Linked DNA regions of Caenorhabditis elegans. The protein of the gene in region 1 interacts with the protein of each later gene in a pairwise test. Each region holds a gene or a part of one and is shown in the gene's direction. Other genes may lie near its edges. The genes, in order: hlh-2, cnd-1, ngn-1 and hlh-8.

What was found.
Region 2: the proteins of hlh-2 (region 1) and cnd-1 interact in a two-hybrid assay, tested with the Caenorhabditis elegans proteins (2 studies listed by BioGRID).
Region 3: the proteins of hlh-2 (region 1) and ngn-1 interact in a two-hybrid assay, tested with the Caenorhabditis elegans proteins (2 studies listed by BioGRID).
Region 4: the proteins of hlh-2 (region 1) and hlh-8 interact in a two-hybrid assay, tested with the Caenorhabditis elegans proteins (2 studies listed by BioGRID).

What each region holds. Positions count from the first base shown.
Region 1 is NC_003279.8:7,187,876-7,195,845, reverse strand, and holds hlh-2 (Helix-loop-helix protein hlh-2), read left to right. Parts: upstream 1-1,925; 5' UTR 1,926-1,938; coding exon 1,939-2,083; intron 2,084-2,433; coding exon 2,434-2,921; intron 2,922-3,760; coding exon 3,761-4,062; intron 4,063-4,174; coding exon 4,175-4,316; intron 4,317-4,483; coding exon 4,484-4,606; 3' UTR 4,607-5,058; downstream 5,059-7,970. Other genes in the region: plag-15 (PhosphoLipase A2 Group), read right to left, coding at 5,356-5,824, 5,927-6,075, 6,124-6,266, 6,476-6,693, 6,745-6,904, 7,193-7,307; M05B5.3 (uncharacterized protein), read right to left, coding at 7,687-7,771, 7,933-7,970. UniProt on the Caenorhabditis elegans protein: Transcription factor which binds the E box motif 5'-CA[TC][AG]TG-3'. Plays a key role in the anchor cell/ventral uterine precursor cell (AC/VU) decision; required for VU fate.
Region 2 is NC_003281.10:5,238,463-5,247,004, reverse strand, and holds cnd-1 (Neurogenic differentiation factor 1), read left to right. Parts: upstream 1-2,365; 5' UTR 2,366-4,960; coding exon 4,961-5,154; intron 5,155-5,491; coding exon 5,492-5,618; intron 5,619-6,012; coding exon 6,013-6,270; 3' UTR 6,271-6,414; downstream 6,415-8,542. Other genes in the region: prx-10 (Tryptophan--tRNA ligase, mitochondrial), read right to left, coding at 7,078-7,170, 7,299-7,454, 7,500-7,607, 7,728-8,192. UniProt on the Caenorhabditis elegans protein: Acts as a transcriptional regulator whose activity is required for several aspects of motor neuron fate specification, including cell division patterns, proper spatiotemporal expression of fate-specific markers, and normal axonal morphology and pathfinding.
Region 3 is NC_003282.8:2,624,675-2,631,596, reverse strand, and holds ngn-1 (Helix-loop-helix protein ngn-1), read left to right. Parts: upstream 1-3,325; 5' UTR 3,326-3,382; coding exon 3,383-3,469; intron 3,470-4,679; coding exon 4,680-4,918; intron 4,919-5,188; coding exon 5,189-5,417; 3' UTR 5,418-5,535; downstream 5,536-6,922. Other genes in the region: NRAMP-like transporter smf-3, read right to left, coding at 6,232-6,345, 6,719-6,766, 6,828-6,922. UniProt on the Caenorhabditis elegans protein: Acts as a transcriptional regulator. Regulates expression of various genes, including homeobox protein unc-42 and helix-loop-helix protein hlh-34.
Region 4 is NC_003284.9:8,114,082-8,122,427, forward strand, and holds hlh-8 (Twist-related protein), read left to right. Parts: upstream 1-2,375; 5' UTR 2,376-2,470; intron 2,471-2,556; coding exon 2,557-2,658; intron 2,659-3,683; exon of another isoform or gene 3,684-3,830; intron 3,831-4,677; coding exon 4,678-4,794; intron 4,795-4,841; coding exon 4,842-4,989; intron 4,990-5,704; coding exon 5,705-5,791; intron 5,792-5,942; coding exon 5,943-6,025; 3' UTR 6,026-6,259; downstream 6,260-8,346. Other genes in the region: C02B8.12 (Cpw-wpc domain-containing protein), read right to left, coding at 6,329-6,477, 6,560-6,739, 7,310-7,445, 7,536-7,624, 7,707-7,854, 7,906-7,968, 8,014-8,256. UniProt on the Caenorhabditis elegans protein: Acts as a transcriptional regulator. Involved in postembryonic mesodermal cell fate specification. Activates ceh-24 and egl-15 during mesodermal patterning.

The sequences.
Region 1 (7,970 bases):
GCAACTTGTTGAGTTTCGGTTTCCTGTGCCTTATCTAGATAAAATACCCTATTTGATCTGTCAATGATCAGATAAATCTTCTAAAATGATTGAAATCTGATTGAGACCTATCTTTACTTGCATCCCTTTTTCAACATTCTCAAATAAGTATCACCATTTAGTTAATCATATTTGTAGAACAAATTCGTCATTATTACCGTATTTCTAACTTTTTCTAACCAAACCATTGAGCACTTGAATTTGATGACAGCTGCACTCCGTCCCACAATAGACACCTCCCCAAATACTCTCGAGAAAAAAGTTCCAGTACCGTATACTTTTGACAACATCTGTCAAAAAATGCACTTTAGAGACGGGCATTGGAAGTATCATTTCTTTTTATAATTGTTGGTTTATTACCACAGAGAGACAATTTTAGGATATGGCTCAAGATATTTGAAGACTCGAGTAGTCCCACAGTATTGTGATTGCTGAAACTTCTGTTGTGAATATGAGTAACTTTATTCTAATAAAATATACCCCTTTCCTGTGCACACTCTTTCTCTCACTCTTACCATATTCTGAAGAATTAAAATTTCAGAGATCCCTACAAAACTCTAATAACATGCTTCAAAAATGAATGTACTCCCTACAGTCGGGTGGCGACATTTTCCCCCAAGAGAGCTGACCTCTTCTATTCATTCAATCCCCTTATTCATTCAATCCTTCCCCCATTTTCCTCTCATTTCACCCAAAAAAGACTGGTGAATGAATGGTGGGAGAAGAGATGGAGGACCCCGGGATAATAGAGGATTGTGTGCTGCAGGAGGTAGAGAGAGATGGTTGTGGGCGTGACCTCTCCCGATCATCGTCTCTGCGTCTCTTGGATGTAGACGGTCCCCGGGAGAAAGAATGTCTGCGTCTATGTACACCAATATACTGTTTATGTCCCTTGAATGGGCTTTTATACGCGTCCCTCCACTACCACCACCCTCGAAGAACCATTCCTAGCCACCCGCATAGCCGCTAAGAAGGGGGGAGTGCACTCTTTTCGTCTTTTTTTGTGTCTAAATCTGTTCCGTTTACTAGCTTTTCAAGTTCATGATCTTACTGTAATAAAACATAGCACATATTTTGAATGAAATACATAATGTATCCCATCTTCTGATTTTGAAAATTAAAATTTCTCTCCTCCCAATTTTCAATTTTGGATCTTTTACCAAATAATTTTGATCTGCATTACTTTTTCTCACTCCTACAATGTTTACGAATCCTTACCAATTTTGAATTTAAACAAGAACGCAAATGTATTGTAGGGCAGTTTTTTTTTCAATTATTGAGTTTATCAAAAAATGTATATTTGCATCCGAAATGTTACTAGCTCACGTTTAAAGCTTTCATATATATCTTATCCTACGTCTGAATTTAAACTAATTATTTAGATGGGCCTGAAACCCTTTGATCCATCACCCCTTTACTGTTATTTTATTGCTCTTTCGGGATGTCATCCATCCGATAATCATCTACAATGACATCTACATTTACAACTATTTCTTGATACCATCTCAACATCATTACCTCCCTACAAATTGTTCTCCTTCAAGTAACTTGCTCCTAATAATTTATACCGGAACTTAGTAGATCTATTGTGACGTCACAATTATTATTCTTTATTGATCTACCTTGCCTCTTTTGATCTCGTTTGCCTATTTAACCAAACGAGGAGAATCGATTATTTTCTTCTTTTTCTTATTCTCAATATTTCTTCAAATGGGGTTGTCTTGACGAAAATCTAATCAGAATATATTTACTAACCTAATTTTTTCACCTGCTGCTCCAGCCCAATTCCCTACTTATTCCCTTTCCTCTCCCCGCTTCTCCGCTGACTTTATTTCTTTGACATTACTACTATAATCGTCTTTCATATCATTTCGCAGAAATAAAGTTTTCAGAACCTCAATGGCGGATCCAAATAGCCAACTTACGTCAGCCACAACTGTTGCAACTGCCGCCATTGCTCAACCACAGGTTATGCTTCCAAATGCATATGATTATCCTTATAATATTGATCCGACAACGATTCAGATGCCTGATTATTGGAGTGGTTAGTCTTTTTTTCATTTGAAATCTATTATAATTTCAATTATATCATTTGGTAAACCAAACCAAACATGTTTTCGTGAATTTGTTAAAAGTCGCTTGTAATCAGTTAGAAATATTGGATAAATTGCAGAAAAAGGATATAAGTTTGGTATTACTTATCTCGAATTGTTGAATTGTTGATTTTATAAGCTCGCAAATTTTTAAAATTTACTTTAAGTTGAAACAAAATGTATAACTCTTTTAATGTTCTAAAATTTTGTAAAAATCTGGTTTGCTCTAGTAAGTAGTTTATTAACCAAAATGTTTATATCTCATTTCTCAAGTGCAAGTCATCTAAATAAACATTTTCAGGATACCATCTCAACCCGTATCCTCCGATGCAAACAACGGATATTGATTATTCATCAGCCTTCCTTCCAACACATCCACCAACTGAAACCCCTGCTTCCGTAGCTGCTCCAACTTCTGCAACATCTGATATTAAGCCAATTCATGCAACATCATCCACTTCAACGACGGCTCCATCTACTGCTCCAGCTCCAACTTCAACTACTGATGTGCTTGAGTTAAAGCCAACAACAGCTCCAGCCACGAATTCTGCAGAAACATCAGCGATTGTTGCTCCACAGCCTCTTACTAATCTTACCGCACCAATTGACGCAATGTCATCAATGTATACATGGCCACAAACATATCCAGGTTACCTTCCACCTTCAGAAGATAACAAAGCAAGTGAAGCTGTTAATCCATACATCTCAATCCCTCCAACATATACATTTGGTGCTGATCCATCAGTTGCCGACTTCTCATCGTATCAGCAGCAACTTGCTGGACAGCCGGTACGTTTCTATTCTTCTTGGTTTTATTCGTGTTTTACTGTTTTACCACAAGTTAATCTCGACGAATGATTGCTTGGCCCTCCTCAGCCGCCAAGCATTCACGTATGCATAATCCGCTTCCTTTTGATGTGAGCCGCCGCCTTCTGAAGATTGAGATGCATGCAAAAGGCGGCATCTTCTTGAGAAGAACACCCTGTGCGCACTAAACGACCTCCAAAAAAGTCACTAATGTAAACATAAAACAAGGAGAAACATACAGAAAAGATGGATTAGTTACATAATTAGGCAAAGTTTATCGCTTTTTTTGTTGGAGGAAATTTTTGAGATTCTTTCAGTTTTCTTTAAAATAATTTTTGCCATATGACAATACTAAACATTAAGATTCTGAACTACTGTTGTCGTGAACAAAGTTTTGAGACCCTGATGACATTTTTTTGCGTTCCAGTCTTGAGAAATCTAGAATAATATGGTAAAATCCCTGTATCCAACCTCTGACTAGTGAATAACTAAATTGGCCAAAATTTGAAGCTCTTGCTTTTTGCATTGTTACCCAATAGCCGGTCACATTTTCTGATGGTGTCCTCGAAAACCGAAGGGGGCTATTGACCGACGTCGCCGCATGATTAAGTGGTGAACAGAGACGGTCACATTGCGGGGTTCAGTACATTAAAGAGATCGATTGATTTGACTCGGCCCCCAATAGTACCATTTGAGAGAATTAACTGACTAGCAAGGCAAATGAAATTAATTCTTTGTTTTGTTTCATTGAGAGAAAAAGTTGAGTAGTTTTAGATGAGGGTTATAGAAATTATAAAACCAAAAACAATGAAATATTGCAGAATGGTCTTGGTGGAGATACCAACTTGGTTGACTACAATCATCAATTCCCACCAGCCGGTATGAGCCCACACTTTGATCCAAATGGATATCCAGGAATGACCGGAATGCCACCAGGATCAAGTGCATCATCTGTTCGAAATGATAAGTCTGCATCAAGAGCAACGAGCCGTCGTCGGGTACAAGGCCCTCCATCTTCTGGAATTCCAACTCGCCATTCATCGTCTTCAAGGCTTTCTGATAATGAATCAATGAGTGATGACAAAGATACGGATAGGAGATCACAGAATAATGCTCGAGAAAGGTGAGGAGTTTTTTACTTTTAAGACGTTTTGAATTGAACATTGGAAATTGACAATTACATAGTAATTTAATCGAGATATCTCCAAATCTAATCTAATACAAAAAACTTACAGAGTACGAGTTCGTGACATCAATTCGGCATTCAAAGAGCTCGGACGAATGTGCACACAGCACAATCAGAATACAGAACGGAATCAAACAAAATTGGGAATTCTACACAATGCAGTATCTGTGATTACACAATTGGAAGAACAGGTTAGATAATTTTTCATATTTTAAAGAAACATTCAAATTGTGAACAAAATTAATTGGCAATTGTTCGACTGCTGTATTTTTGACTTTGAAGCACATAACATTGCGATGGAATTTATTCGAAAAATTTAAACAAAACACTGAACAAGTTGAAATTTATAATTTTACAGGTTCGTCAACGAAATATGAATCCAAAAGTGATGGCTGGAATGAAAAGGAAACCTGATGATGATAAAATGAAGATGCTTGATGACAATGCACCATCCGCGCAGTTTGGACATCCACGGTTTTAAATTTAAAAATTGACTTTTTAAGCATTTCAAACTATCATTCCCAATCTTCTCCCAATCATCCATACGGCTAAAACTCTCTAGCATATTGTTTTTTTGTTCAAACTATTCAAATGTTCCCCTTCATCTCCCTCCGGATTGGAGGTCCTGTGATTTCTCAACTTCAATCAGTTTTCAGTTTTAAAAATTTTAAACTTTATTACAAGATCATCACAATTTTCTGTATGTTTTTAATTTATTTTCTCCTCTAAATTTAAATCAATCAATAGCTAATTCTAATATTTCAAGTATTAAAATTAACTTTCATATTATTCATTCATTCAATCAACTTCTTCCAACTTGTCTTATTTTTTGTGTGTGTGTATGTGATAAACCATAGCTAATTAGTATCTACTTGAAATGAAATGGTCCACTCAAAAAAAAAGACACCGCCAACTAATTTCACACATGAATTACTCTATTGGGTAACTGTTTCAACACTTTAATTATCCAAGCTCCGATGAAGTGCTAATGTCCTTCGCAGTATGGATTCCACTTTATGTTGAAAGGGATTCCCATTTATAATTAGACATTTAGTTTGACTTTCTAAGTCGTTGAAACGAGATGTTTTTTTCATGGTCTGTCAAAACTGATGTATAGGAATATTGGATGTATAAAATGTCAACAACGGGAAAAAATGTGATACAAACATAATTCATTCACCTTGATCAAAACAAACAAAATTTTAAAATTCAGAACCCTTTTTGCATCACTCAAATTAACTGGAAAATGGCTTTTCGGACAAGTTCAATTGCATTTGGATGTTTAAGAATTGCCATGTGATCAGCTTGAAATACTTCGTGTACAGTAACCTTATAACCATTATTATTTCCAATCCAATTAGTGCACACTGTAGCTGATTTTTTGTTCACTGTCCCGTCTCCATCACCCATGAATTCAGTTGGTGGATAATCTGGAAAGTATCCGGGAGCCCATGAAAACTTTTCCGGTGTGGGGACTCCTGTTCCATAAATACAATGAACTGGAACTCCTGGAGAACTTAAATTTCCATTCAGACGGGCGGCCTGTTTGTATTGTTCCCATCCAACCATGTAATTAATGTCTTGAAAGAATTCTTTAATATTTCCAACAGTGTAGTTTTTGTCAGCAGTTGTCGCTAATATTTCATGTGGTTTCCATGCAACTGGACTTGGAAACAGAAAGGCCGAAGAGGAGAATGATCTGAAGAACCAAATAAGTTGAAGAAAAACATAATTTGGTAGTCTTAGCACCATAAGAGTAAATATTTCACTTTTAAGTTTCCAAACACCTCAAAGTGCTTACCTTTGCATTGCTCTCAAGCTACTCGGTGGTAGAATAACTCTATAATAATTCATATTATATCCAGATGCAAATAATCGAACAATTTGCATTGATCCAGCCCATGGAGCCGCCAAACTAACAAAACTCGATATGTATTTGTCTTTCCAAGCCTGGAAACAATAAGTGTTATTTCATCTAACACCTTTCAATTATCTCACCTGATCCACATAATTATTCAAGAAATACAAAGAAAGGGGATTACCCATACTGTGACCGACGAGTACGATCTTTTGATTGTCATTCCAGCGATATGTGGTTTCAATTAAGGACTTCAGTTGAATGAGATAATCGTTTAATTCATCTGAAATTGTTTAGAATTAAATACAAAGTTGGTTTGGTAATTCGGAGTGCAAAAAAACGGTTTTGCTGATCTTTGTGAGCAAGTTCGCAATTGGAAAGTTGGCGCAAACGGTACGCGGACTTTTAGCGCGGGTATAAACCAGAAAATGTCAATTTCTATGAGAAACAAATGAACCTATGTATTCTCTTAATTCTGAAGGCTCAACTCACTTGGGGATTTTCTCCAATCAAAAGGTGCTCCAATGACATTTTTTCCTCTTCGATAACCCCATGAAACCATCGAATCAACGATATCAAAGAAGTATCTTCCCTGTGATGCTTTACTCTTATCCAACCATTCAACACTTTCAGTTGCTCCAAATCCAGCAACTCTAATGTCAACTCCTGGCATGTTTTCAGACAATCCTGTGGTTGTGTTGAACACTAATCTGAAATGTTATTAAATTGATTTTCTTTGCTCTGGAAATAATGAAACTTACTGCATGTTATCAGCCCAACAATCAATAACCAAAGGTGTGAAAAGTTGTAGATTAAGCCAAAGATCAAAATAATCGGCTGTCTGCTTGGAGCAAACATAATGCACAACTGATGGTTTACCCGTTAGATTTGATTCCAGCTGGCTGCCTCCATCACCAGGCACTGAAAACTATACAATATATTTATTGCGATTTTTTAAATTCCAATTTGCTAAAAACGGACTAAAACTAATTTGGAATGTATGAAACTTTTTAGAACTCGTATTAGAAAGTACTAGATATCTTTTCAATTCTGATCAAATAAAACATCAGAACTGAGAACTTGAACAATTGTGGATGTAATTCAAAAATATAAAATTTAAAATTTAAAATAAAGAAATATAATTACAGTAGACCGACCGAACGACTTGAAAGATTTAAAGTTAAGAAATCAAATAAAACAAAAGCTCACCGAGAATCACCGGAAGTCCTTTCGCTTGTGATCTGCCAAACTTTCCAAACCATTTCGTGTCACTTTTTCCAATTAAAACCAAGAAAATACACAAAGAAACCAGGATATCCCGCATCTGTTGAACTGACCAGTCGGGTATGATGATGGAGGCTCCACTATGAGCTCAATCTTCTCCCTCCAACCCTTTTTCTTCTTTTTCAGTCGTTTTCTTTGCGTCTCTTCTCAACACCTTGTTCTCTATAGAGACACATCAATAAATCAAAGTCGCAAATGTTCATCACATGGTCATATCTTCAGAGTAGACAAGGGTGAAGGTGAGAAGGTGAATCTGGGATATTACTGACATACAAGTAGAGAACTGCGATTTATTATACAACAATAAAATATTTACGATAATGAGAAAAACGAGAGACGCAGATCATTTAAAGACGAATTGAAACAAAAATAAATTTTAAAAAAAGTAAATGTAAAAATGTTCTCGACTGGATGTATGCTCATTTTGGATCCTTTTCCTTTTTTGTAGGTCCATTGTAAACTTTTGCAGAATCAGTGGCCATCTTCTTTTGCTTTTCGCGATACCTGAAAAAGGAATGGTTGCTCGAGTTTTGAATAATTCCAATCAATTGTATTGTTGAACAATGAAAAATGAAAATTCGGAATATCGACACTCTTAATTTCAATTAATATTTGAAGAGAAGTCTTTAAGTTATTTGAATCTAGATATAGGCTTGAAAACTCACAGAGCAAAAGAAGATCCAGAGTTTCCAGGATCCGGATT
Region 2 (8,542 bases), on another chromosome or scaffold:
ATAAATGTGCTCTTTCTTTCCCTACTGGTGTTTTGCATTTAACTAGAGGCTCCTCTTTTGATTGACCCTTTCCAATATGTCATTTTGCATTGAATTGGTAGATAAAGATGAGAAGTTGTAAACAAGTACTAATTGTAACAATAAGAATAATAACAATAGTTATTTACTACTTTCAAGTTTACTAACATGGGATCTCAAAACTTTTGTAGTACCACCAAAAAGTTACAATTATTCAGTTTTCAAATATTATAATTTCTTGAACTCTACCAAAAATATATTTACTTCTCCTCGGGTATTATATTTCAATGATGTTTCTATTGTTTGTATTTAAATTTAAATTCAAAAAGTTATTTCTGTGTATTTCGCAAAAAATTGAAGAAAACCCGGAATTTGGCAATTTACCAAATTTTAACTGAAATTGTAAATTTTGAAAGTCTGGAAAGTATTAGAATATTTCATACATACAATCATTTTGGCACTACCTAAACAGTTTTATAACAATTTAAAATCGTAGGTGACTCCATCAATTTTGTTCAAAAGCTTTTCCTTCGACAAGACCATACATAATTATGGCCGCCCTGTGCGACTTTGAAAAAGAAACAAAAATTTGCATATTTGATGCTTTGATTTTGTTCCGCGTCTGCATTCAAGGTGATTGATTTTTATGGAAACACAGAGCAGATGGTCACACTTTTTGAAAAAATATTCGATTGGTGTGAAATAAGTTTGATTTCCGTTATTGCAAGATGACGAGAATTGATAAACTACGAGATTTTGCGCTTTTTTCGTCTAAAAATACTTTACATTTTAAAGACAAAAGAGGTATGGACTTTTAAAGTATACTGTAAAAACATTTTTGAAAACTGAACGCAATGAGGAGTTGGGGAATACAGTACTCCATAAAGGCACACACTTCCATTAAAAATAAATCATGTCAAGACCGGAAATCGTATTTCGAGCATCTTACAATTTTAATTCGAGATGGTTTTCTTTTCAATTGCTATGTTTTCCCCAGAATTTTCTCTATTTTTTGGTTTGTTTTCTTTTTGTTTTTCCATTATCTCCTATTGGGTCGAACATAAATAAATCTTCATCTCGCTTGGTTCCATCCCTCCGTGTATTTCACCCATTTTCTCTCCACTATGCTTCAACTGTCAAATCGTTTTGATTTCCTTCCCGTCGTCACCCACCATTTTTCGTTGAGCACGGTGGTTGTGGTGGCGGCTCTTTTTTGGTCACAGCTCGAATGAGTGATGAGCATTAGCAAGGTTTCGGTATGAAGAAAAGGGGAAAATGGAAACAGACGGAACGTGATTAAGACTTAGGTTACGGTATTTAGAGAATAGGGTGATCAACCGGAAAATTATGAATGGTTTTTTTAGGTTAGGCCAGAGCAAAGAATAACAAACAAATAAAATAAACTAGAGAGAGCATAAACTTCCAAATAAAAATACAATTAAAGAAAGACCGTTAAACCTGCATAAGTTTCTCCATTTTATTAAACCAAGACTCTCATGAGAATTCAAAAAATAAACCATCTCCACTTGACACGTTGACAACTAGTCTCCATCTGCTTGTTAATTCCTTAAATCAGAACAAAAAAGAAACAATAAAGATTACATAACTTCCTGTTACCCATTCTCTTGTTACAATTTCCCTTCTCAAATGGGCTAATCCTCAACAAGTACTCTCACTCACTTGAGCTCATCTCATGCTCATTTAACGGTCAACAGCTATGACACGTGGCTCTAGTAATACTTGAAAGTTTTCGCGCATACTTGTAGTGATACACTGTATCCATCCGGTCTGTATTTATTCAGAAGTCATGAAGAGGGCGATGAACACCTGCTGGGAAGAGACAAATATAGGATATCTGTCAATAAAAAAGATATATGGTAACAGGTACATGTGTATTTAATGATTATTACATGCGCGATATATGTGAATGTTTGCGCATTTGGTTGCAATAATATTTGGTTTATTTGACATATTATCACAAAATTGGGAAAAGTTCAGGAGAGGAAACACTTCACAAAAAATTATTCGGAATACCCTTATTTGAAAGGTTTTGCTTGGACAATTCGTCAAAAATTAAACTATGGCAATGTGCAAAAAAAATAATTTGGAATTTTTCCAAAACTATTGGTAGATCTAGAAAAAATCCTCTTTAACGATATTCCTTCATTAATTAATTGAAAAGTTTTTAATAAGTTGAAAAATGTTGAAAATATTTTTTACTATATCTTTCTATATACCCAATTATTGTACCAAATCATCACCTAGGCACCAACCATATTGTTATTCATTAATAACCGCACCGCTTGCTCTCTTCCTCCCACCGATCGGTCTTGAAAGATTAATTACAGACTTGCATCATCATACAAATATACCGCCCGTACTCCTGAAAACGTTCAACATACGGTGCCAAATCCGTTTAGAAATGTGTGACAGTGACAAGGAATTGGTCTAATTAGGTGTGATGCAATGCGGTAACCAAACTGTCAAAGGATGGAATTCAACTAGGGGATTTATGAGTCAAGAGGTGTGAAATTTTGGTATTTGGTTTCTAGCAGAACAAAAGGTATATGAACTCAAATGAGGAAATGTGATAATCAAATTGTGAAATTATTGGTTTTAGAATATCCATGAAACTTAATTTTTCAGTGTCAAAAGAAATAATCTCGAGCCTTTTCAAATTGCTCGAAAAGTGGATTTTTGGACGCTTTCGATAATTTTCAGAGATTCTAGATTCCACGGGGAAAAATCTGCACAAGTACTTGCCTATCTTCCTTCCATTCCGGGCCACTATTTAAGTGTTCTTTCTGTGTTTTTTCCTAGTCTCTTCAAAAGATGAATGACCAACTGTTGGTGGCAGCTGGCTAGATAGCACATGAGTATAGGAGACTAAGACATTTGAAGGACTTGAATTAATTATTGCCAATTTAGGTTAGCTTGAGGATGGACTGAGGCCATTACCGGAAGAAGGGTGTTATTAGAAAAAAATAGAGGAAAGAAAAGAAAACAGTTATGATTTAAATGGAAAGTTAATTGGCATTAAGTGAGATTCTCATTAACTCATTATTTGCGCGAAAGTGGTACATTTCTCTTGAACTAAAACAAACAAACTGAAATGTATTCAGTAAATTTTTTCGCTGAAGTTTTTTCCAAAACTAGTCTTGGTTTTAGGATGTTTTTTTGTAAGATTAGGTTTTTATTATATTATTTTTTGATAAAATATGTTAACTTTATAACCAACCTTTTCATGTTTTAAAACAAAAAGTGACTAATAAAGTGCTCTAAAAGGCTTACTGAATGCTTACCAACTAATAACAGAATCTGCAGATTAGTGAAGTCTCAAAAACATGCAATGAAGAAAAAAACTTGTTTTTCAAAACCATCGTTTTTGTGAAAAGACCTTATCAACTTCCAATCAGTTCCCGCGTCAACAAATATCTGTGATCTATCTAGAACATTTCTCAGAACATCCCGTGCACTTATCTTGAAGAGTATGTCAGTTACAGAATTGTGTGACCCTTATAAAACCTTTCTTGGTAATTAGATGATATCTGCATTTACTGATGCACATCATTGCATAATTGGAGAAATATGACATAACAACTTTTACTGGATGTATACTACTCTATTTCGATAACGGTCGTATCGATAGATCCTATAGAACAAAAATTCAGACTATATGTTTTCACTCTTGGACCTTCACTCTCGGAATCGAAAAAACGATGATATTTGAATTTGAAAGAATAAGACAATCTATGATCTCAATTTTCAAATCAGAATTTGATTTTCAGAATTTTTTGTGGAATATTTCATATTGATGTATTGTTTATATTGACCCCTGGCAAAAGTCTCACAGTACAATGAGATCCCAGAAGAACACTTGGATTATGTTCAGGAAGGAAGAAAATATTACAGTTGACACCTCTGGTATGTAGGATTACAGAGATTTTCATTGTTTCATGAAACTTTGACACCTGCTCATTGACATTTGTGATTTGTAAAAGGTCAAATATTTTGAACTGACAAGTTTCTAGTAATGGGCACTCTACACCTTTGTTAGGCGGGAATTAATGGCAATTCCAGAAATTCACGGCAATTTTCAAATCTATTTATATTTCGAAATTTAAAATTACAAATTGCAATTGCGTGCATATCTGACATGCTCTCCGGATCTAACAGAAGATCAACGAATGAGATAGTGCTACTGTTTTAGGCAAATAACATGTTAATCGGTGACACGCATGTGTTTTGGTTGAGATAAAATCATACTGTAATTAATATGGAGTAGTTGAACTACCGTGGACGATTTCTAGCATGTTTCAAGATTTTTAAAATTACAAGCACGAGCGTTTTTGTTAACTGGATCGTTTTCAGAACAAATTTTTTATCTATTGGAAGGGATTTATTGAAATGTGGAACACCATTCCACACATGTTATAAAGCTTCGTATTTTAATATTTATAGTCAATAGTGTCGATCATGTTACAAGTTTGGCACATACATTCAAAAATATTAACTTTTTGGAATGCAGTTTTTTAGTTGGAACATAATTAAGAGTCCTTTGCCTTGTTGGTATACTTAGAACATTTTGATATTTTGTTTTCTAAAAAGTAGATAAAGTAGAGCTAAAAGTTTTTTTTAAAAGTATTTTTCTATGCAAGGTTCCTATTTTAAGCAAGTTTTCTAAAATCTGATTGTAAGACACATCAACATTAAACTTTTTCGAAAGTTTCATCTGTAAATTTATCTTTTTAGAACTTTTTAATGCTATCATTGGAAACCATTCCATCCTTCCCAACGAACATCCCGCCCCTTTTGTACACCACGGGCTCTCTGTTCACCCAGCTCCACCAGCCCCGCCCCTCCTTCTGTGAACCATCCACCAGATCAGTAGCTCATTCTCTTTCACTATACACTTCCCTGTCATCCAGTTATATTTTCTACAATGCGTCCTACTGATACTTCAAACTTTGCTCCAGCCGAAATTTCAAAGCGAAAAGTTCGACGAGTGAAAGCAAATGGAAGAGAAAGAGCAAGAATGCATGGTTTGAATAATGCATTGGATATGCTCAGAGAGTATATTCCAATTACTACTCAACATCAGAAACTTAGCAAAATTGAGACTTTGAGACTCGCAAGGTAAGATTTTTTGTTATTTGGCGCTTTCTTCTAATTTTTCTAAAGTGTTTCTAATTAACTGAAACTTCGCTTTAAAAGTTTAGATTTTTTAAATACATTTTTTCCAAAACGAGGTAATAACTTTTTTTTCAATTTTCATAATTAATTCCGTGATTTATATAATTTCCAAGCCGTCTTGAATAGAATAGAATATAGAAAGACTCTTCTTAATTACCAGCTCGCTGTCATTAAGTTTTATGATTCTCCCCCGTTCCAAATAAGAATTTTAACGATTTAACTATGAACATAGTCATCATTAAACCCATAAAATATTTCCAAATTAATTCAAATATTTCAGGAATTACATTGATGCTCTTCAAAGAATGTTGCAAACAAACGAACAACCAACTCCACTTGAATATGCTCACACACTTGCCAATGGATTGTCACAGACTACCACGAATATGTTGGCTAACTTGTTGCAGGTAAGGTTTTGAGAGCATTTCATTAAATAACTTGGTATTGTCTTATAACTGAAGTTAGAAGTCATAAGATAGTTTTTCGCTAGCGAAATTAACTAGTTGTTGAATTTTCGGAGTCCTCCAGAAGTTTCAAATACAGTTAATTTAAACATAGTCAAAATATTAAACTCATAGGAAATGTTTAGTACTGTAGTTTGCCTATCTTCTTGTTAGCTGATTTACAAAACAAGTGTCGAGACCGCGTGCTGTATTTTTAAATGAGAAATAATTTTTTCGAATAGATGAATCTAAAAGATTTGGGCTTTGTATAACCCATTTTTTCTTACACATTTACCATATTTTGTTAGAGTAAAAACAATTTACTACCCAAAATCTCCATATCCCCTCTCTTTTCCAGGTCCAACCTCGTCAACTCCTTCCACCATCACAATTCGACATCTTCTCTGATCCATCCCATCATCAACTTCATCCATCTCATCCACCACCACATTCATCCTTCTCATCATCATCACCATCATCTTCATGTTCTCCACCTCAATATTATTATTCTCCAACTCAACCATCAGCTGCTCCACTTCAAGGATCATGTGATCCACAATATCAACAAATGTATCATCAACATTCCCATCAGAATACTTTTAATTATTCACCATAAGTTTCGGTTTTTTTTCAAATATTTGTTGAGAGTCTCTTTCTTTGATTTCTGATTTGTTTGGTTACGGGTCTGTTATTTAATTTTATTTTTGTCACTACATTTATACATCCAGTTGAACTGAAAAATAAATTATTTTAAAGTATTGACCAGTAATTTTCCATTTTTGTTTCTCTTTCATTTTAAAATATGACTGCTAGAATGCTAGAAATATAAAGAAAAAATATAGAATGAACAGAAACAAAATGCTAGAAGTACGGTAGGTTACGGTACGATCGCGGCGAGATATCGAGTACGTGATCGGAATGTGTGTTGTCCGCAACGTTTTTTTTTATAGTCATGTAATAAAATATTTTTCTCAATTTTTTCACAACGTTTTTCCTTTTCCCGAGTCTTCAACGTTCACATGATCAAGATTTTCTGTCCAATTAAGATCGAAACAAAGAATGAAAAAAAGTTCCATAACTGAAGAGCCACTTAATGTTTACGGGGGGGAGTCCTCCTGGGAATCCGTGCTGCTCTGAGAGCATAATAATAATTATAATTATAATTTACACTCCTAAAACAAACACCAAAAATAGTGTGGGGAGAAGCAAAGAAGAAGATAATTGCGGGTGTAATTATATCATCACTATTGACAGATACAGCCAATGAATATTCGAAGATGTTTAAAATGCGTGGAAAACATTAATAATTTACTTAACCTAAATATGAATAGACGAAATGAAAAATCAACAATATCCTCTAAGTAAAAAGTAAAATCAACAACGAAAAATAACTGAACAATTCAAACATCCGTAAATTTAAATATCACAAGAATCCGATAGTTCGACGAATCTCTTCTAGATTTTTTTCTGCAATTTCTCGAGCCTTTTCACCATTTTCAGTTAGCACTTTGTCAACCTGAAAGGTGGATAAATTAAGAATGAAAAGCTCTGCAAAAATCAAAAATTTGACAACACAGATGGCCGCAATTTTAGTTTAACTGGGGAATGATTTGAAGAGAAGCCAAAAAACGAATAAAATTATACCTCTCCAGTATTTTGTAATTCTTCAAATTTTTGTCGAATTGGAGCTAGTCGTTTATCAACTGCTTCAGCCAAATTCATTTTCAAATCTAAAGTTGTCCAATTTGAGAAGTCGATCTCTGATGTTTGAGTTTTGGTGACTGCCGAATAGAGATCAAGCTGGAAATTGGAAAATTAGGTTCTGAAATTAATTAGAGGACATACCAAATTGGAAACAGCTAACCGGTTTTCCTTATCATATGTCACTTTTCCAGCATTGTCACTTTGTGCTTTTTGACATTTCTCGATAATTGTGGAACGGCTGTCTGTGATCTGAAAAGGGTACTGTAGATGAAACTTGCTATAGTTTAGATTCTTGATTCAAAGTGTCAATTTCTTAAATGCTGTTCCAAAAAATATGTTTTTGTTCAGTAAGAAATGTGAAATTATTACCTCAATACGACTCCTCGGTCCTCCTGATGATTTGCTCATTTTCTTTTCAGGTTCTCTTAATGATCGAATTCTTGCATGAGATTCTCGTGTTAACTGCTTTGGAATCGGAAAGATTTCAGTCTCATAAGTTTTATTAAATGCGTAAGCAAGTCCTCCAAGAAGATTTAAATGTTGACTTTGATCTTCTCCAACTGGAACTGTTGTGGCTTTAAATGTAAGAACATCAGCTGCTTGAAGGAGAGGATACGTAAGGAGTCCAACTGGAATATCACCTTTTTTGAATCTTTCTTTTTTTTCTTTATATTGGGGAAGTCTTGCAAGTTTTGAAGTTGTTTGAAGTGAACCAAGAATCCATGAAATTTGGGCAATTTGAGGAACATCTGATTGTCGGAAAAGGAGAGTTCGGTTTGGATCAACACCACATGCAATAAGACTTGCTGTCATTTGGTGAGTGTTTTGGCGGAGCTGTAAACATTTTTTTATTAATTTTCTAAACATTTGTTTTTAGATTTTCCAAAAAGAAAAAAAAAGTTTAAATATATTGTTTTTTGTTCAATTTTTTCGATTTTCCGTAAAATTGAAAAATCAAAAATTTCGATTTTTAAAAAATAAATAAAAATATTTTATTTATAGTTTTGAAAAATAATTTTTCAATAGAAAAAAAACATTATTTTTTTCGATACTAAATTGTTACTTTTTCTATTTAAATAATCTAAAAATCTAAAATTTCCGTTTTCCAATGATTCTATACATATTTTTCTTCGATTTCCCGGAAAATCAAACATTTTTGTTCCGAAAAAAAAACGAAAAAATTG
Region 3 (6,922 bases), on another chromosome or scaffold:
CAAGTCGGTAAATTGCCGGTTTAACAATTTTTAAAGCACTAACCTAAAACATTTTAATAAAGTTTCTAAATAAAAGCTAAACCCCAGTGAGATAGCCTGGTCGATGCCAATTTAAAAAAAATAATAAATTAGTGCGAATAATCCCAACATTTCAAATTGAAAACTCTTGAAAAAAATGACTGCCCTCTTTTCTACAACAATCCTAACCTGACAGCCTGTTGGAGAACAAAGAGGGTGAGGAAATGATGGATATGCTATGCTCATTGAGCAGTAATCTGTCACTAAAATTTATTACTGGTCAACATTTCAGGCAAAGGATTTACAGAAAGAGCTCTCTTGGGAAATCATTTGCAAATCCTCCATAATAAAATACTATATAGGATGGGTTGATTTACAGTGTGGAATTTATGGGAAAAATATGTATTGTGCATTGTAGGGCTTCCATGTAGGCGTTAGAAGCCTACCTGCCTGACCTAAAAAGCTTTATGTAAAAACATACGTTAACATTTTTTGAAAAATTAGAAATTTGTAAATTCACTTCAAAATGGAAAAAAGAGGCGAAAGGCGGGGGAAGGTTTCAGGCAGGCGCCAGGCGCTCATGCGCATTGTTCTATAATTAGTTTTAGTAGTTTAAAACTTTCTGATAAAACCAAATATAATCGAGAGAGATTTATGCGCTGTCAAATTTTGGGTTGATATGCACCATGCTTGAACAAAATTTTTTTTACAATTGTTAAAAATCCTAAAGCAATCATCACAATTTTGGGTAAAATTAGCATGTTCCCCCCAATCTAACCCTCTCCTCGCTTCATGATTTTGATGCGAACCCCAAGCTTTCTCTTGTTAAAACGTCAAATTTCACGAGCAATTAATTGAAATTCATAGCATGTGTCTTCTGCGTCTCTCACATTTTCACACACTCTCTCTCTCTCTCCCTCAGTTTCCACTGGGGTGATGATTAGCCTATTACGGTTTTGACGACTTTTCGAGAGAGAGAATCAGGAAACCTTCTTGTTAATCACAGGTGTCAATGTTTGTATATAAATATACAAGCTAATCTCATTAAACACCATAATCCTAATACACAGTAGGCAGGGAGGGGGGATTATTCCGTAACCTTTGGCTACTCTATTATTGGGTCAATAGGTATCAATTTGCACATTATATGTGGTATGACTATTTTTTCGAAATTTGGAAAAACTTATACAAAATTACAGAAAGAGAAATGGTACATAATTTGTTAGTTGACAAGTTTTTGATAAAACCAAACACAGCGGAGATAAGCGCTATCAAAGTTTAGGTAGTTTATCGATGCACCATGTCTTCAAGACCCTATATCTCGATTCATTAAGGTGATATCAGGAAGTGTTCAACTACAAAATTATAGAAAAAGAAGTGGTGCATATTTTGTTTGTTGACAAATTTTTGATAAATCCAAACACAGTGGAGATAGGCGCTAACAAAGTTTAGCAAAGGTGGATATCTTGGTTGTCTTTGTTTTATTTTTGAAAAATTGATAAATAAAACGAGTGGAAAATCAGTACACAAATAGTTTGCTGGTTGAAAAAGTCTTTGGTAAAACCGTAAAAACCAAAAATATCCGAGATTTAAGCAATAACAGACATGGTGCATCGACAAAAAAATTATGAGCTACAAGATTATAGAGCAGTGAAATTATAGTATATTCTGATATACACTTACACCTAATGGGTCCCTCAACACTGTATACCGTTTCCGTCAGTTGGGATCTCCACTAACACCTTACACTTTTTAGACCTCCAATTTTGATCAAAATTGGATGCCTATCGGCCTAAAAGTTGTCTCAATCAACGAATTTCCGCGAGATAAATTACCAAAATAAGGATTAAAAAGATGATAATTTCAGAAAAAAAATCCAAAATCCAAAATTTCAGATTTTAGCAAAATTTGGCTCGTTTTTTTTCCAAATTTTGACCGGCCATAAAAAAATTTTGGAAATTTTTTGTGAAGTCTCGTTATGAAATTCGGTGGTTTTGAACCAGTTTTAGTCTATTTAAGCAAAATACCCACAAACTCTACCCACCCCCCCCCCCCCCCTTAATTTCAAATATAAGCAAGATATAAGCTGTCAAAAGTTAAACAAGTTTTTCGATGCACCATGTTTTTGGACTCAATTATTTTGAAGATATTAAAGATGTCAAATGTTTAAAATATAGGAAACGTATTGATAAATATTGGATAACACCAAACACAACAGAAATATAAGCTCATGAGTGCATTTTTGTACTTGTCGGAATTTTGAAAATCCCAGAAATTCGTAATCGAAAATTAAATAAATTAATTCTTAACAATTATATTTGGTATATTGGGTCTGTATTCTGTCATTTACTACAAAAAACAACATTAACTGATATCTTCGAAATAAGCCACGATGTAAAACAAAAAATTGGGTTAAAAGGTTTTCCTCGTCGATGTAGGTGTCGTTGATCTCATTAAAAAAATTGCAAAACAATCATATAAAAAAAACCAATAAAATACCTATTATCTCTATTAAACTTCCTACATGCACCATGTGCACATTTGAATATATTTGAATTCAAAAATAGTTTAATTGAATTAGTTAGCTTATATCTCGATTTTCCCTGGTTATATCAACTAACAAAATACAAAGTATTATAAATGTTGCATTATTTTCAGCGATTAAAAAAATTAAAATTTTTTCTTAAGCCAAGATATACGCTGCCAAAGACATGGTACATCGAAAAATTTCGTTTCACTTAACTTTGATAGCTTGTATCAGGGGTGTGCGGCAAATTTGCCGAATTTGCTGAATTTGCCGTTTGCCGAGCTCGGCAAATTTGCCGAATTTGCTGAATTTGCCGTTTGTTAAGAATTCAGTAGTTTTGGTGCTCCAGAAAACATAAAAAATATCAAATTTTTCCGAGTTTGTTAAGCACGGCAAATTTGCCGAATTTGCCGAGCTCGGCAAATTTTGAGATTTGCCGCACACCCCTGGCTTGTATCTCGGTTATCTTTTTCGCTATCAAAAAGCTGCCAACTAACAAAATATTTGTTATTAAACGCTCTCCCCTATACAAGCTACCTGTCTTTCTGTATTTCCGTATAAGTGTCGTTATCTCCACTCCCACCCCACCAGTTTCTCACCTTTCAGAATGTACAGTCTTCCGGTTTGCACCTCTATTCCTCTTTTTCGGCGAGCTCTCCTACTCTGAAAAATCGCACCCCACCATATCTCCAGACTGGTGTTCCGGTTTGTTTCCCTTCTCTCTCTCTCTTTCTACCCCGCCCATCTCCTTACACCCCGCCCCCTTTATGTCCCATCTGTCATTAGTCAGTCATTTTCCACAGTGGTGCCCCCACCCACGTGTTTTTGTTTTGCACAATGTACCATCATTCACCATTCTACCCGCATCATTTGCAAACTGGCGAGCAAGATTTAGATATGGAACGAGAAAATGATATGGATCAGGTTAGTTTTGGTTTTGGAAAAATGTTTAGAGAAATTTAAAACCAAATAATTTTTTTTTCGATTATTTTTTGAAAATTTCCGCAATTTTCTGAAGGTGCCAGATTTTTAAAGGTGGTGTTGTCGAGTTTTTTCATTGCTTCATTAGCCTTACAATTGTCTGAAAACGCCGAATTTCCTAATGAATCTTGAAAACTTCAAGTTTTAAACTATCGTAACTCCGTGGAGGTGGATGCTACAAAACATTTGTAAACTAACGTAATGTTGCAAATTTAATTTGTTTCATTTTATTAGTTAACAATTTTTGATAGGATGTATGGTTCCCGAGATATAAGCCTTCAAAATACTCATGGTATTGTACAGCTGTAACTTTCCTCGTGTAAATTTAAAACTAAAAAGTGGTAGAAAACTTCAAAATCTTCAATTTGTCAGTTGACAGTTTTTTAATAAATTTCCCGGTTAATGAGATATAAGCCTTTAAAGTTGTAGAATGATTTTTAGAAAACACCAAAATTAAAAATTGAATACATAGCTGTATCTAAACGGCGGTAATAGTTATGCAAAACTTGTCAACTGTCAAAATACTAATCAAACAATTTTCTACAAGTTGTTAGTTAACAACTTTTTAATAACTATTATGGCTAATAAGATATGCCCGTTTAAAGTTGTCTCAGCACACCCGAAAACTTTGAGTAGCTATATTTCGGCGGAAACAAAAACTGCTGAAAAATTGCTAACTAAAACATATTAAACAAAACATTTTTCTACATTTTGCTAATTAACAATCTTTAAATAGCTCTTGCAGAAATTTCAGTAAACTGTTTTTTTTCAGAAAAAAATGTTTAAAAAAAATTCATTCTCTATAACTTTGTTACTGTTCAAGCCATTTAAAGGAGGAGTACCAAAATCTAAGACTTTTTCTTAGACTCAAAATTACCCAAAACTACCGAATTTTGTAATGAGACGTTTTGAAAATTTCTCAAAGTTCTGGAAAAAATGGCACGTTTTCAGCTAAAATCAAAATTTTGGCACCTTTTTTGCCAGAATTTCGAACTGGCATAACTTTTTTTTGAGAAATTTTCAAAACGCTTCATTACAAAATTCGGTCGTTTTAGCTAATTTTGAGTCTAAACAAGGTCTCAGAAAGGTCCCTTTAATTCTGTTTTTGAGCTCAAAATCAATTCTCATTTTCTCTTTACAAATTTAATTTCAGAACTCCAAGAATTCTACACAAAAGCCTGTAAAACGAGAAAAACGGAGATATAGATGCCGAAAGCGGAGCCCAGCGACAATCGAACGAGCAAAAACCGTCAGAAGAGATAAGGCTAATGCTCGAGAACGTCGGAGAATGAATAGTTTGAATGATGCGTTGGAGCATCTACGTGGCATACTTCCAGCTCTTCCAGATGAGCCAAAAATGACGAAAATCGAGACTTTGAGGAAAGCCCAAGAGTTAGTTTTATTAAAAATTCGAATATTTTAACTATATTTCCAAGCTCATCAGGATCAGAAAAATTATTTTCCGTAGCGTGGATTCGTACCCGGCACTATTTTCCCCAAAAGCGAACCTCTACCCGACTGAGCCACTTTCTCAACTTTTTATTTGAGAGTTCAAAAAACGGCTCGAATTTAATAATTTTGTCTAAATTTTCTGGGTTCAGAAAGTTAAGATTTTTTCTTTAAAAAAACATTCTAAAAATCTAAAAATCCCAAAAATTCCAGATACATCGCCAGTCTAAGCTTCCAACTATCCGGCGGCTCCCCAGACTCCTCTCAGTGCTGCGAGACGGGTTCCTGTGGCCTGTGCTCCGCGAGCCAATCTCTTCAGTCCACACCATTCCAATCACCATGCTTCCCACAACCACTACAGTACCCCTCATCCTACAGTAATCCACCGTCGCAAATGTACTACCATCATCATCATCAGAGCCCAAGCTTCCCACATCATTGACACAATTTTTTGTTCAAAGTTTTTTTTTTCAGAAATTTCACATTTTTGGGTATCGTCTAGTCAAATTTGCTCTCACTTGGCATATTTCAATTTTTTTTTGTAAAGAATAAAATTTTTTTTTTTTTCGTTTTGAAACATTTTTAAGCCACTTAATTTGGTGACCTAGAAATTCAAATGTTCGGATTTCTAAGCCACCTTTCTTCAACAGCTGAAAAAACTAATATTGCTGAGCAAGAATGCTTTTTCAATCTTCGAAAATATAGATTTTGAAGCGAGTTATAGGCATTTGAAGTTGGTGACCTAGAAATCCAAATTTTCAGATTTCTAGGCCACGGGGATCAATTTTTAGAAATTGATAGAACAAACTTTGCCGTTAAAGAACATATGCTTGAATTCTTGAAATACGATTTTTGAAACGAGTTATAGGCATTTGAAATTGGTGGCCTAGAAAATTGGGGGGGGGGGGGGTGGTGGGAAGTTAGGCCATCAAATAGAAGTCGTCATAGGCACCAACTTCAAACCTGCCTAACTTTCCTTAAGATCAATATTTTTGTATTTTGGCACGTTTCGTACATGGCCTAGAAATCTGCAAATTTGGCTTCCTAGGCCACCAACTTTGAACTTGGCTTTTAATTTGTGAAATCGAAATTTTGAAAAATTTTAAAACACAGTATGAAAATCGGAGATATTTATTGATTTTTTGCATAGGAGATCATATAAATTGATTATAAATTAGGTATTAACATTTTGAAAATTTTCGAAAATTTTTTTGTTTCAAAAATACATATATTATTATAAAAAATTATTACATAAATCAATATCGCATAGACAGTTCGTCGTCGGAAATTGTATTTTTCGTCGATGGATTTTCCGAGTCCTCCAGCCAAGGAGCATCGAAATCGTGGTAGATGGGCTCCGCGAGCCATTTCTGAAAAATTATTTTTTGGGAATCGATTGTTTAGCGATCTATTGTATTTTTACCATGAAAAAATCACGTGTTTTCAGCTCGACCATTCGGTGTAATTTGTGCAAACACCGCCACGCGCAAATGCAGACATTTTTGCACGCGCTGCGGTGAAATTCCTCTTGGGGAATTCAAATATTTTTTCCCGCCATTTTTAAAAATTTTCGAGGCGTTGGTCGAGCTGAATACACGTGAAAATTACCCAAAAAGAAACACTAAATGCCAAGGAACAATTTGAAATTCTGCGCTAAACAACACGCGCCTGCGTAATTGTGGAGCATCGTTTGAAACTCGTTAGAGCCCATTTTAAATATCGATTTTTCGCCCGGTAACTTACTGTTTGAATGGGTGAGATGAATTCCATTGCGACAAGGCAATAATACGTCTGAAAATTTTTTAATTGGTTTTTGTATTTAAATAATTAATTTAATGAAGTTGTCACTTACCAAATATGCGATGAAAATAATGTAGAAAATCGCGCAAAAAATAGTGATTGGAATAGAAACTGCATTATAACCAAATGTTGATCCAATCCAAGAGT
Region 4 (8,346 bases), on another chromosome or scaffold:
CTTACTCGCCTTTGCTCCCAAAGATTTACCATTTTCTTGTTTTTGTTTGTTAATTTCCTCTCCCACCCATTTTCAACCATGTCATTTCACACATTAAACTCAGTATGCATCGATTTAATTGTTCCAGGCTAATTGGGTTTCTGTCATTGTTAATAGACACAATTTTTACTGAGAAATCCTTTTCATATGTGTGAAATTTGTTCTTTAAACGTGCATTTCCTATTTATCGCTCTCTAGATTTGATGCCAGTTCGTGTAGTTTTTTCCCAACCGTTGACTCATCGATACCGCAATCCATTTCACCCAGTATTTGTACCATTGCCGTGAATTCACAGTATTACATGGTCGTCCCCTTTTCCACAAAATCTCTTTCAGACTCCCTCCACCCTGATCCCGTTTTAATTGTTTCTTGCTGATTTCCCTTTCAACCGATCTTCGTTTTTTTTTCAATAGGGTATATTTGAAATGTCGGAATGTCGATTCAGCAGTAAATTTGATATGACACTCTGACTTTTTTAAATGTAAATCTGATTGTTTATCAGAATTCAACCGGGCCCACTGATTATTCATTAATTATGCGACAAGAAGAATAACGTTATAGTTTTTCTTTCTTAAGCATTTTTCATCATCAACATTTTTTGTTTAGATTTAATTTTGTTGCTAATAAAAAACTACACAAAACGCCAAGCACATTTATTTGACTTTTTTTTTTGAGTAATGCAGTAAGTAGGCAATTTGTTGTTTTTATAATTGATTAGTTTTAAGGCCTACTTGCAAAACTGAGAAAATTCTTATCAAGAATTCAAAACCATTTACGATTATCGGATTTTTAATATGGACAATGTTACTCATTTTGGATAAATCAAAAGAGTTTTTGGATTTTAAAATTAATAACTGTTTATTACTGATTAACAAAAGATTACGGTAAATTGGAGTTACAAAATGGACAAGTTTTATTTATGAATCAAGACATATTTTGATAAAAAATATGGGTACCCCCGCCAATTTAAAAATAAATTTTTTAACTTAAAAAAAAACGTGTGAAATGCTTTCATATTTTCAGGCTTACTTAGAAAAACACCATTCCTAAGTCTAACGAGGAAAATGGGAAACATGGGAAATATTACCGAAACCTGGGAAATATTTTTTATTGATTCCAAATTTTCCCTTGATTCCAAATATCGATGTGAAAAAAAATTAAAACAAAAATTACTGATTTTATTTAAGCTTGAAATCACAAATTCCATTTTTATGTCATACTTCAGATTTAAACAAATTTATTTTATGTGTGTTTTTTTAATGGTATGTCCTAACGATTTTCCTAATTGACAACTATTATAGATTGAAAACACAGAATGCCAAGTAACGTAAGAAATTTTTTTTTCGAATACCAGACATAATTTCAATAAAAGAAAAATCTTTAAAAAAAGTTTAACTTTATACTACAATAATTTTGGTTTTTATGAAGGAATCTGTATTGCGGCACATCATGTATTTGCTCAAGGTTTCGTTGGTTGACATATTTTTGTGATCCGTGGAATGAGCTTGCATAGAGTTTAGTCATAATTGGGTTTATTTTACATACAGTTTGAAGTATGTTTTGTCTGTTATTCGAAATTTTTTAGTTAGTTTGGTAAGTTGAAAAGAATTTACAAAATTTAACTAAACGAGGACGCTCATCTCGATTCTTATAATTCCATAATAATTCTACGGTAAAAGTCAAGTTATGCCTCAAAACATGTAATACATAATTACCAAAACTACTTAATTACCGCATTTCCTTAGTATTTTAATAGTGGTGTAGTCGAATTTTTTTTATTGCTTTATTAGACTCAAAATTGTCTGCAAACACCCAATTTCATAATGAAACTTATTGAAAACAATACACTTTGAAACAATTTAGTATTTCAGGAATAAGGTCACTGGAACTTCGAAAATGATAATTTGAATAACCGTTAATAAAATATTCAAACCAATTTGCATAATCTTGATTTTGTATCATGATGGTATAGAATGGGACTTTTGAAAGATGTGAAGTTTCAATTCAGTAAGTACAACTTTAAAATTGGGCTGCAAGATTTCTTCTTAAATTTTCAACAGTTTCAAAACACTGAAATCATGCTGAACTATGGTTAGAGACTCGACAACTTTCCTAAATTTTGGAGCAGTTTCAATGGTTTTCGAATGTATACTACATTTGTACCATTTTATGTGTTAGTGTAGGTTGCTTTGCTTCTACCTTCACTCTCAAATTCTTTTTTCCGCGGTAATTTTTCAACTATCGAAACAAAGAAGAAGTCATGAATAACTGTCCGCATAGAGTTCTCACCCGTCCCCTTTCTTTTCACCGAGCAGTCACGAGAGAAAGAAGAAGAAGCGGACCGCTGCAGAGATTCTTCGTAGCGGAGCCCCGCCCATCCTCTGTTACGCATATGTTTGGATCTCATTTCTTCCACTCATTAACGTTCCAGGTATGTTTTTTTTGTTGATTTTTTAATGTGTTACTTTTCATATGTTTATTACTTGAACTGACCGATTTCAAATATGATTTTCACAGATGGTGGCTCGTAGAAAAGGAGAACGCGTGGTTCGAAAGAATGAAGTGGAAAATGTGCAGCAGAGAGCATGTGCCAACAGACGGGAACGTCAAAGGACCAAGGTAAATGTTCATTCAATTGTTTTTGAGAGTTTCGGGTTGTTTAATATATTTTGAAAATGACCGCCTTTCTCTCAAAATGTTATTTTAGAGGCTTCAACCTAGATCAGCAGCTCGAAAAAAAAAACAGAAATTAAATATATAGTTTTTTTTAACGTAGTCAAACATAGTAACCTAGAATTGATACTATCATTTTATAAATGAAAAAAACCATGTCAGGTCAGTCAGGTCATTGTTTGTTGCATCTATTCTGCGTACGACTTTCACACAATTTTTCAATGACAGTTTTGCGTTGAGAACAACTTTTGATCTTTGTTATGTAATTAGTATATTTGAGCAAATTTTTCTCTTCTTAGCAATAAAATGTCGAATTTTCAACTGAAGTTATCAAGTTTGAGTGAATTATAAAATTAGTGCTAGCCATGTAAGCAATGAAATATCCCCTTCACACGAAATCCTATAAATTAGTGAGCGAACACTCCAAAAAAACCGGGTCATTAAGATTATCTGTTACTGTTCAGTATCGTTGTAATCCATACCCCTTCATTGCACGCTTTGGTAATTTTTTCACGTTTTTTTCCATTGATTAAGGTACAGTTTCAGTAGATCAATCCGCAAAATTTGAAAAAAATCTGTTGATTATAAGTATGTTCACCCGTATCGAGGAAATAAACGTGGAATAAAATACTAAATTTCGCAAAGAAAAGGTATGACTAAATAAACATGATTTTCGGTCTTTTCGACATCAAAAAATGACAAAAATGTGCTTTTTTTAATATTCAAACATGTTTTTTTGCGTCAAAACCGTTTCTGAACTTTTTTAAAAGGTATTATTCTGTAATTGGAACTGTAGAGCCATTGCTTCTTTTCAAAATTTATATAAATATTCCAGTTCTTTACTTCTACTTCCCCCTACGATCTAGTATTTAAAAAATTAGTTACAAAAAAATGTTACCGGGGAACCAATTTTAAAACCATAACTCGGCAACCAAATTGAACACGACTCTTTCGCATATCGCATATCATTTACAGCTTCCGTTCCCAAGCCATATCTCACACTTTTCCGACACCTCAATAACTAGTTTCACATATCACCCTGACCGCCAGGCTCGACGACACACTTTATTGTTCTCCCGCGCAATGTTTATGGCTCATCATCTGGCATGCTCGCTAGCTCGCTGCGTTCCAAAACTCCTAACGTCGCCTTCGTTTACGGCTAACATTAAACCACTTCCTCAACTCCTTCCGTAAGAATTTTGAGTTGCTTTTCGGAGTACGGTAGAGGAAGATGCAAGACGCGAGATGGGAGAAGAGGGTGGGGGGCAATAAAAAGAAAAGGTCCCTTCTGAATCCTGAGAACATCTGGAGACAATTTCAAAATATCACAGGAATCAGAGAGGCTGAAGGCAGAAAACTTATTTTTCTTCTTTCCACGGACGACATTTCTGAGCCAAGGCGCTAGCTAAACAAAACGTTTTTGATGGGGAAAATGAGTGATGGTTGAGCAATATTTTTGCCGAATTTAAAAGATATTGATGATGGCGATTTTTTAAATAAAGTCTAAGTTGTTAGCAGTTTTTAAAAACAATTACCAAAATATTAAGTTAATTAGTAATTCCACACCGTCTTTGAAACGCCAAATGGAGTCTTGAAACTATTGCAAATTGCAATGCATTCCGAATATCACTAAAAGTGCACGACAACTACCAATTGCCGTAAACTTCAAAACCTCGTGGCGTTAAGCCCTTTTTCAAAAAAAACCTAAATGAATACAAAAACGCGGTAGTGTTTTCTAAATATAATTATGTTTGAAAACTACCAAAAAAAACCTGGCAATTGGCAATTTCGGCAAGTTGGTCAATTTTAGCAATTGCCGGAAATTGCCGAAAACTGTGATAACAACTATCCTAATGACCTAATGAGTTCTTCTCTATCTTGATATGTTTATGCTTTATAAACATTATCTACTGTTTATGCGCGAAAAAAAACATTTAGATCACTCGTATTATGATTTGTTTACAGGAACTCAATGACGCTTTCACACTTTTGCGTAAACTGATCCCGTCGATGCCCTCAGACAAGATGAGCAAGATCCACACACTACGCATTGCAACCGATTACATATCCTTCCTTGACGAGGTTTTGAGTTGGAGATACTGTGGGATAATTGAATAAAACAATTTCAGATGCAAAAAAATGGATGCAAACTGTATGGCCATTCGATCTTCGACGAAAAACGTGGATACAATTTACAGTCGGCTTTCAATATGTGGAGGGGTAACAATGGATACACACCAATTGCTGGACCTTCACAGTTGCCTCCACTACAATCTGGTGAGCAAAGATGTTAATTCATTTTCAATTTTTTATTTGTTCCGTAGGCTGGAACATGTTCATAAACTTAGCATTTTCCGCTTTCAAAATTAGGCAAAACTATGAAAATAGAAGTACGAAACGTTTTTTGAGTTTAATGGATTATAATATTTTCGAAAAATGTCAGGTTATGATTAGAGCTATCATTTTTCCCGAATTATTTGATCATCAATTTACACGAACCTAAAATTGACTACATCAAAATAATGGGGTAATAACTGATGTAGAAACAATTCGTTTCAAAATTTTCAGTTGTAATTTTAGTTAGCTAATGGGGCTAATAACAGCACTAGTATTTTCTAGCTGTTAAAATTCTAAAGCTTTTATGTTATCTTATAGGAAACTGTATCAGGGATAAATGAAAAGTTAACCACTTTCTTAAACATTTATCGAACTTATAAACGTCGTACTTGTTTTCATATAACCTATGTAAAAATTATCATCAAAATTTAAAATTCTTTGCTTAGTTTTGCAGCCTCTATTAGTCTTGCATCTCTACGAATCTACCGACAATTAGTCTTACATGCAGGAGTAATAGGAAATACAGTGTACTGGGCTTCCTTTGTGCACTTATAACAATGAAAATTCTCAGCTTCAGAGTGAATTGAAACTGTTATGATTGAAATTCTTATGAGAATAAAATTCGTGTCTTAAAAACAAAGTTCACTTTTTTCAGCACATATTCCCCCTCCTGCTCCATCCAGCATTCCTCCACACTGTCTGATGCCCCAGCCTTGGTATCAGACTTGTCCGCCGCCAAAACGTAAGTTTTTGTACTGATACAAATTTTTATAGTGGGTCATAAAACAGTTTAGTCTGACTAGCACAACATCAGTAATCCTGCAAATCCTTTTTGTCAAAGTACAAAAGTACAATTTTTGAAGAGAATTCGCGTCACCTTGTTTTTTTTTCAGAAGAATTTCATGAACTGTGTCCCATCTCAACTCCAAATCCCAATTCAAATCCAAATCAACTCACTCCAATTCACTGGCAATAATTTCGAATATGGAAAAAACTGGCCAGCTCCTAATTTATTTGATAATGTATGCTTCTCAATCAACATAGTCCTCATGATATAGTGCCTTATTCTCATTTTTGATGTATCAAATCTGTCTAATAATATCTACTCGATTTCAATTTTCGTTTGCTCAAAACTTAAAAATTTGCTTGAGAATTTTGCAAGAGACTATTAGTAAGCCCATTGTTAAATGAAACAAGTTTATCCCGCAAACAGAAACTATGTGTGAATATGATCAAACTATAATACAAACACGTAAAAAAAAATTTTGAATCATAATTATCATTTGACCACTAAGCCATGCAATGATGAACCAATTTCAACTTGACATTCACACCCAGTAGTGGTATCAATTGACTCTTTTACCCAGTCATCGCCATTCTGTCTCATCACATTGATCGTCCTCATTATTGGCTTGCATTCTCCGAATCCTAAAAAAAGTGTGGGTCAGCGGCGTGATGGATGGGCGTCTATGAAAAAAAACGAGCCCATCGGAGCCCAAATGTCAAATACCTGAAAGGCATCCATCGTCGTTGTGGTCGCAATTGACCTCATTCAAATAGTTGGGGTAATAGTCGGCGGGAAGCTTTCTCCACTGCCAACACAAATTGCACAACCCACACCATTCGGAATTCGTTTGAAGAGCTTCACCACGGCGGTACTGACATCCAAGACTAGTGACTACTCCAAGCACTGAAAAACAGAGTTATCACTAAATTACTGATATTGTATCGGAAAGATTTGCATTTTTATTAGGATGGTCATAGATCTAAATCTAAATTTAAATTTTTTAAATTTCCAGTTAAAGTTAAGACGAAGTGCCAAATTTTTGAAAAAAAAATCTTAAAAAGAAATCCAGAGCAATTTAGAATGCTTCGACAATTAGAATGTCTTAACACAAATAATTGAAACAGAATTAAAGTATGATAATCGTGGGAAAACTTTTTTTGGTCGGCTTCCAAATTTATGAGTGGCAAAAACTGTACAATTTTCACTTTTTTACTGTCAATAAAAAATTTTCAAGCATGTTTGAAAATTTTTACTATGATATTTAACTATTTTGGTCCTATAGGAGTAGTTTGAAACAATTTACCCACTCGCGCTACTTTGCCTTTAAAACATTTTTTACTCCGTCATGAAGAGTTTTGATTCAAAAGTTGTAATATTGAAAAAACTTTTAGTAAAAGTTAAAAAATGAATAATTTATACAATAAGATTTATTAAGCAAAGAAGTTGTTTTAAAAAAGTACAATTTCAGCTTACCTGGCCGGTTTTTTGGATCAGTTGATGTGAATGAATCAGTTGAAGTATCTTGATCAATTGTGTTATCATCAATATCATTATTTAAAGAATCGGTGTCAGGTGTTGTATTCATTAACACAAATCGTTTAGTAAGTCGCTAAAAACATTTTTAATCTAAAAAAACTTGTAGTGAAGTTGGAATTAAATGGGCTACCATGTTTTTATTAAAATTATCTAACAAGCGCACCTTTTTTATCTTATACTTGTTAACTGTCGAGTACTCCTCACTGAACCTCTTTTTTCTTGAATGTTGATCACAAGATCCTGTTGTACTACCTATTAAAACTTTCGATATTTTTTGATTGAAGTTGGTAAAGTTGATTGAGCAGTTGTGGAAAATAGCCAATAACCAACTCACCAAGTTTTATAGCCAAAGCATTTCTTTGAGCTGTCAGTGTTGCGTTGTCAGCGGCCCCTATATTTGGATTTGCCAGAAAGCCATTGAGAAGTGACATTTTACAACTCATACATGCATATGTAGGGCACTCTCCATTGACAGACTGGTCCTGAATACAAATTTGCAAACGACTCTTAAAAATTTATGCTGAGAAACTGACCAGCGGAGTCCCTGCTCCAAACGCGGCAATCGATACTTTTGTTGTCATCACGGACGGGCCGGCCTAAAAACTGAATTTAAAAAAATTGAATTTTTGTAAATTTAAAACCATTGACGCCATTGGAACATCGCCATCAACACTTTCATAATCTGGCTTTTGACCGTCTTCACTTCTCACAGAACCACCACCGGCTGCTCCAAATCCATTAGGTGGCTGGAAAAGTGTAGCTTGATCCGTACTTGCCAAATTTGGAAATGTGAACATTGCCTCATCTAGTGACTCCGCCATCATTGAACTGTCATATGAGAGACACGGCTGACTGGAAGATTTAGTCATTCTCCGATTACAACACTGAAATACAACATGTAAAAAAAAATCTTGTGAAAGTTTATGTCCTTTCAAACTTGAGACAAAACTAAAGTTTCTCAAGGACACACCAAT